Linked DNA regions of Oryctolagus cuniculus. Each later gene encodes a partner of the first gene's protein in a complex. Links are inferred from orthologs where the notes say so. Each region holds a gene or a part of one and is shown in the gene's direction. Other genes may lie near its edges.

Region 1 (3,519 bases):
AATAGCACTTTAGCTTTCCACATGGCCACATTGACACCAAGAAGGGCACAGTTTTTCATTTGGTGTTTGCCTAATACTGGGCAGGTAATAAGAAAAAGGTTTTCTCATCAGCCAGACTACCCTTTCTCTCGTTCTTTGACTGGAGGGAGGTAGAAAGCTCTTCTTGTCTATTTTTTCACTCGTGTCTGCTAGTGGTTCCAGGTTTCAAGCTTCTCCAGCACCCCATATGGCATAAGTAGAAGGGAAATAGAAAGCCCAGGGAACTCAACAACATTCTATTTTCTCAAGTGGTGAGGTAGCTGGCCAGCCTGTCCCCTTTCTGGTCCTTCACTGCCATTATGCTTAGGAATTCCAGTTATAAGAGGGAGGACTGGTAAGCAATGGGGCGATTCCATGTTTATGTCCTTGTTGCTTTTTAAATACTTAGCGCCCTGCTGTAGGTTTCTGGGCCTCAGAATGGGGTCATTGACCAGGATATCATGGGTGAAATCTTGGGAGCTGCTTCACCTTTGGAGCTACTGTTTTATCTAGAAATGAAACTTCTGGCTCTAAGATCATTTGTTGAGCTCAATAAAAATGGTTTAAGTGACAAAAATAATCAGTTTGCAGGGATTAACAAATGAACCAAAGATGAGGAAAGAAGTCAGTATGTCTTCAAGATCCTGCATTAAAAAGTGTAGGATGGTGAAGGGATTTGGGGATATGTTTGGTGTTGGGGGATAAGTGAGAAGTGCAGATTGGAAAGAAAATAATTTTAACAAATTTGTTTTTGTGGTTGGACTGAGAATGCAATGTTAATAAAGAGTGAGAAATGAAAAGGCAGATTACAGACAGTAATGTTGGTCACACTGGAGTATGAGGTTCTAGCACAAGTATAAAAACTGTTAGGAAAGAGAACTTCATTCCTTGGAGACCTAGTATACTCCCAGCTAGCAATAATCTTAATTGAGCAAATGCCACTTTAAAATGAAAATCTTGCATCCTAGAGAATATTATAAACAGCCAAAATAACAAGAAAGGAAAACTGTATTGTTTTAAACCATGCTTGAATGAATAAATGTTTTGCAGATCACCAATCGTCAGTGACATTATTTGGAAGATTTGGGGATGATCTGGTTTGCATTAAACATATTTACACTTTAAAATGCCTTATAAATTAAGTCAAGCTGTACTACAAACAGATGCTAAGAAATATGAAAATATATAGATTTTTTGCTGTGTTAAGATACTTGTTATCTAAAGAATATAATTGACCAGAGTTTGAAAAACTGCTTGGCTTTTGTTTTTTCCAGAGAGCTCAGTCAGATGAACTGGAAAAAATTGAAAAGCATGGCCGATCCTCTAAAGACAAGGAAAACGCCAAGTCTCTGGATAAACCGGAACAGTAAGCATGCCTTAGGCCTGTGGCAAGGGCACAAGGGCTACGGGTGGGCCCTCTGTCCATTTGGAAAATGCAGTCTTCAGTGCATACCTGTCATGAATGAGATGAGGATCAACATCTGTTCATATGAATTATATTTTTCCTCTTAACTTGGCTTTATTTCTTTAGGTTCCTTTATGAACTGTCACTAATCCCCAACTTTTCAGAGCGAGTCTTTTGCATCCTGTTCCAGTCCACGTTTTCAGAAAGCATTTGCTCAATTCGTCGCAAACTGGAATTATTACAGAAATTGTGTGAGGTGAGTTTTGGTCCAAAATGAATTGAACTTGAATTCTGATTATTTAATTTGTTCAGTTATGTTCATGTTTCAAAGAAATTTATTTTATTTAAACTCTTTATTAGAAGTGAGGGATAGTAGTCCCACAAAAGGGACCATTTTACGGCTATGCTTTCAAGATCAAATCACATGTTCAGGTTGGCGCATGGATTTGCAGTACCGTGTTGGGCGAGTGTGGCCAGTGTGTGTTGGCCTCTGGAGAGCTGTCTTCCATCAGCTTTTGCCAAAACAAAATCTTTACTTTTCATAGTCCTTTCAGATATCAGACTTCCAAATGAATGAGATTTGAAGGCATTTTATTTACTTCCCTTCATTTTTGGCAGGGTTTTGCAAATTGTTAATAATCATTCCAACCAAATCATTTAGGGACAGACAGCCATATGGCTCAACAGAAGATTAATATTCTTCTGAAAACAGACTAAGTGCCTGGAAGAAATGACCATTATTAACATTTAAAACAATTTGTCAAAAATCAATAGTACCATTCGTTCTGGTCGTGGTAAATCATTTTGAAAAGTGGGATGATGTTATCAAAGACACATTTTCAGAGGAAGTGACATGGAAACTGAAGTTAAACTTAGTATTTTTGGAAGAAGTGTATGTGAACTTTTTGGGAGTAAACCTAAATTTGAAAATCTTCTAACTGCCTTTTGGTTTTCTACAGTTTCTTCCAAATATTTGTGTTGTTCCAGACATACACATGACTAGGATGATGGCAATGATATTGTTTTATAATAGTTGTCCTATTACAACCTTATTTAATTTCCTTGCAATTAAATAGTAGAAACAGCCTAGAGTGGCATCTCTCAACTTACAAAAACATAATTAAATACTTGCTGGTGGTACAACGTTTTAAAGTTTTAAAGACTGCTCTTAAAATATACTTGATAATGAGGGATGGGAAAGTTTGGTTTTGAACCAAGACTGTTAGTATCATGTGAATAGCTGGCAATGACTTTGGATGATTCAAACAAAACTTTGTATAAGAGAAAAATTGTTATTTATCATGTTTTACAGACGTTAAAAAATGGTCCAGGGGTTATGCAGGTTCTGGGTTTGGTTCTTGCCTTTGGCAACTACATGAATGGTGGAAATAAGACTCGGGGTCAGGCAGATGGTTTCGGATTAGACATTCTGCCGAAGCTGAAAGATGTCAAGAGCAGTGTAAGTATTTTGTACAAATGGATGTAGGCAAATTCAGATTAGGTATTTTGTCTAATAATTGGTCTGACTCTAAGCTAGATGTAATAAGTATTTCTTTAGGTTCCAAAGTCTGGCTTGAGCCAGATAAAAGTAATGGCTATCAGATACTTGTGATTTAGTGAATAATAATGTTTTTTAGAATAATTTTGAGTTCCTTGTCTAGTGAATGATTATGATACTTTAAAATTTAAGTTTTTTTTTTTTTCACTCTAACCTGTCTGCTAATACTTATCCTTTTGGAACCTGGGAGCGAGCTATTTTCTGTGAATTAGACAGCCTTATTTGTTATTTTCATCTCTGTGTTTAAGAATGAAGGCCAAGAGGTGCATGTTTTGAAAACAAAACAGACATGAGTGATTGCAAATAAGTCATCAAAAATATTCTGCTTTTCTACATATATTTTTTCTGATATTTATTTGTATGGGAATGTCTAAGCCTAATTATTTTTTTATCCTGCATCTACAATTGTGTTTGTTTTAAAATTAATTCAAGAGATTACAGAGTGATAGCATGGGATACTGGTCAGAGCCACAGACTAAAGTCTGGGATGGTAAACAGAAAATAAGAGTTCTATTTCTCTGATAAAAAGAGTCACCAG
Region 2 (3,519 bases), on another chromosome or scaffold:
ACTAGTGTATCATTTCACTGATGTATCTGGTCCTTATGGTCATATAATATAATTATTGAGGTAAGATTAAATTAAACATAAAAATTATCAGTGTAAAGGAACCATCGACCATAGTGTTATGTTAGCTAATAATAGAGGTTATGCCAAGACCTTCAGCCCACACCAGAGACCAAGAGATCTGGCAAATCTTGGTCAGACTGTGAGCCTGTATTTTGTAGAAGAGGGAGGAGAGCAAGAAAAACTAACTGCAGTTAGTTGGAAGGGTCCCTGTGAACAGGCAGTGGGAGAGCTGGGTTCACCTAGGTGGAGCTCAGGCTGAGGGAAGGGAGCAGAGACCATGGAGAGGTGCAGGGTGGCCCTCACCCAGTGCCTTCTGGCGCCAGCTGAGACAAACATGAACATCCAGCTGTGCAGCTACTGTCCTTGCCAGTGGCGTGGGAATCCATAGATATCAAACGTGGGTAGTAGTGCCCTCTAGCTTGGTAAGCATTGATTTTACAAGTATGGTAATTAATTTGGAATTTTAGTTTAATTTTATTAAGCAAGAAATCATTTTGTATTTGACTCTATTGCCCTCCCTTTCCTTAGTATGTCTGAAGTGTAACTTTTTTCATCACCTGGTGAAGTGACTGGGGGTGACTGCCCCTCTAGGTGAAAGGCAGGCTGTCAGAAAGTACTTTTACAGAGACAGAAGCAAACAGTTCCTTGGTGTATACTAGGGGACTTAGAAAGTTTATGAGAAAATGGATTTAAAAGATAAATTTACTTTTGGTGCATTGAAATTTTGAAATCTATTCATAGTTTTTTCACACTATGAATTTCCCATGAACTTTTTGAAGACCCCCTGGTATCCTTGTGTTTTCTCAGACACTGGAGGCGGTTACCTCTGTCCCTTAGCCCAGCAGCACCATTTAGGGGACTCAGAACGTTCAAAGGGCCCCCAAGCTAGAGAAATGCGAAATCTGTCTTTGCTGTGGGAACTGTACAATCTCTAGGCATGACTTTGGGATTCGGTTTCTGAGTTAGATGTACAGATGCAGACATGGTGTGGACCATTACCATCCTTGTGGGGTTTTCTATTTTGTTTGGTTTTTCTTTCATTTCTGTAATTAGTATTTGTAGGTCACTCATGTTCAGCGTTATTTTCTCCTTTTCTTTTCTCCTGCCATTTTCTTTTTCCCTTATCTATTGTTCAGGTTCCTAGGATAACCAGTGTATGGCCCAGGACGCCTTTCCGACCACTTTTTTCTACCATACAAGCAGCTTCTCTGCTCAGCTCTCATCCTTTTGAAGCAGCCATGGTTGGGGTAGCAGGGGCTATGTATTATCTGTGTGAGAGAGCTTTTACCAGCAGGTGGAAATCCTCAAAGGTTGGCCTCTTTCTGCTGGTTCTGGGAATTATTTTACTCTCTGTATCTCTTTGACAGTGATACTTCAGCTATTGCATTCTGCGAGAATTAACAGCTTAGATGGGCACTTTGCTTCTGATTGTTGATTCCAATCTTGTGTAGGATGTATAGATCTCGCTATGATCTCAGTTGAGGGGGAAATGACTTTGAAAGGACAACAAACTCAAAATGCAGCATCAGATTAGATGTCCCATGGGTGTTTGTCTATTTGAGTGACCTCGTTGTCATCAGGGTGGTGCAGGAGGTCCTCCTGAGAGCCAGAGCATGCTTTCTTCTGGGCCTCCCCTGCCATCAGAAGAGCGATCACTTGCTCATTCAGCTGACAGAGTAGCTCCTGCCATGTAACCAAGCTCTGAGGGCCACGTACCCAAAGGATGGCCTCCTGGGGCCAGAAACCTGTCTGTTCCCAGCATGTCATAAAGCTGCCTATGGTGGTCAGGGTGTTGCTTCTCTGGGAGGAGAAAATTTAATCTTTCTTTTTATTGATGTGGTTATTTAAAATAATTGTGTATTTTCTTTTTAGAGATCTTTGCACAGAATAATATATTTTACTACTATTTGAACCTTCACATTTTTTGAGTGAAATAAAAAGCCCTGGGACCACATTGAAGCCCCTCTGGTCCAGTGTGGCTCTCAGGGTCCCTAACAGATGACTCAGCGGCAGCTTCTGTGTTATTCATCCTCATTACCCATCTTAGTATAGAAAGGAGTCCAGATGCCAATGAAATTGTCATGAAATATGGGGTCAGTCTCTGACCTTTTTCCCAGTTTAGACCTGCCCTTCGGACAGCACCTGCTCAGGTGCAGGGGTGTGCCTTTTAACCCTGTCACTCCTACTGTGACACCTGAAGACCTGCATTTTTTTTTTTTTTTTTTTTTTTTTTTTGACAGGCAGAGTGGGCAGTGAGAGAGAGAGACAGAGAGAAAGGTCTTCCTTTGCCGTTGGTTCACCCTCCAATGGCCGCCGCGGCAGGCACGCTGTGGCCGGCGCACCGGGCTGATCCGAAGGCAGGAGCCAGGTGCTTCTCCTGGTCTCCCATAGGGTGCAGGGCCCAAGGACTTGGGCCATCATCCACTGCACTCCCGGGCCATAGCAGAGAGCTGGTCTGGAAGAGGGGCAACCGGGACAGAATCCGGCGCCCCGACCGGGACTAGAACCCAGTGTGCTGGCGCCGCAGGTGGAGGATTAGTCTATTGAGCCACGGCGCCAGCCACCTGCCGCATTTTGTTATGGATCCTCCCCAAATAGAGGTGTGGTATCTACACACCAAGGCCACATACTACTTCAGACCAACAAAGGATTCACTTTGAGTTTTAAGGCTTAATTAAACTTAATAGTTTTTATTTAAATTTGCCTCTCTCTCGTTTATTAGAAACTCTTACCCTGTACACAAGACTCCCCCACCATCAGAAGCCTGCGTCTCTGTATCTTTCAGAGTGCTGGTAGCTCCACAAGAACAGCTGAAGCTTAGTTTGGCTTTGGGGATGTTGAATTAATCTTTTTGTTATTTGAGGGGGAAAAACTAATCCATAGCAACTATTTGTCATTTTTTTCATGTTGCATTAAAGTTTTGTTGTCCTTGGGAAAGCTCTAGAATTAAAACATTAGCATTTGACCTGATGGAAATTATTTTACTAACCCAAAGTATTTTTTAAATTTAAAAATATATGTATAGGCATATAACACCGCATAAATTTGTACAGTTAAAATAATTTTTAAAACCTCAAAACACACTAAAACTGAATTTTTTCAATTTCAGTAGCCTCCTTTAGACCTTTAGTAAATTTTAATGTGGAAAAAGCATAAGAAAACAAAAACCCAGGATCTCTTACTGCATCCTCTGAAGCACTTGATTTGCATATTGTTCAAAGCAGGAAGTTGGAGGAAGTATGCTTGACTAAGGGCTTCTGTGACTTGAGACTGAAGAGGGGAGCTCAAGCTGTCAGGTTGATTATGTGTGCTAGTAAATCCCCACAAATAAAGAACAATTATTGTCTCCCTGAGATGTTTACCAACCCAGGTATCCCAGTAGCAAAATTACTGAAACTGGCACTATATGATACCTTCCTGGCAAGTACAAGAACAAGTCTGTTTACCTGGTTATTTGCT

The links. Proteins that work in one complex are often made in the same cells at the same time.
Region 2: the proteins of formin-2 (region 1) and SPIRE1 are in contact, whole or in part, in a crystal structure (PDB 2YLE), measured with the Homo sapiens proteins. The link is inferred for Oryctolagus cuniculus from reciprocal best matches to the Homo sapiens genes FMN2 and SPIRE1. Residues at the interface, in NP_064450.3 of Homo sapiens: Ser1702, Leu1703, Lys1705, Ile1706, Lys1707, Pro1708, Arg1709, His1710, Gly1713, Ile1714, Lys1715, Lys1717, Ile1718, Lys1721, Thr1722; in NP_001122098.1 of Homo sapiens: Gln51, Pro52, Ile53, Asn54, Glu127, Ile131, Tyr134, Lys135, Asp138, Leu141, Lys142, Glu143, Asn144, Glu145, Glu146, Arg147, Glu148, Glu154, Ile157, Asp158, Ala161, Asn162, Thr163, Val164, Glu165.

What each region holds. Positions count from the first base shown.
Region 1 is NC_091444.1:57,070,280-57,073,798, reverse strand, and holds part of formin-2, read left to right. Parts: intron 1-1,292; coding exon 1,293-1,384; intron 1,385-1,549; coding exon 1,550-1,679; intron 1,680-2,735; coding exon 2,736-2,882; intron 2,883-3,519. UniProt on the Homo sapiens protein: Actin-binding protein that is involved in actin cytoskeleton assembly and reorganization. Acts as an actin nucleation factor and promotes assembly of actin filaments together with SPIRE1 and SPIRE2.
Region 2 is NC_091441.1:69,320,436-69,323,954, reverse strand, and holds part of SPIRE1 (protein spire homolog 1), read left to right. Parts: intron 1-1,196; coding exon 1,197-1,370; intron 1,371-3,519.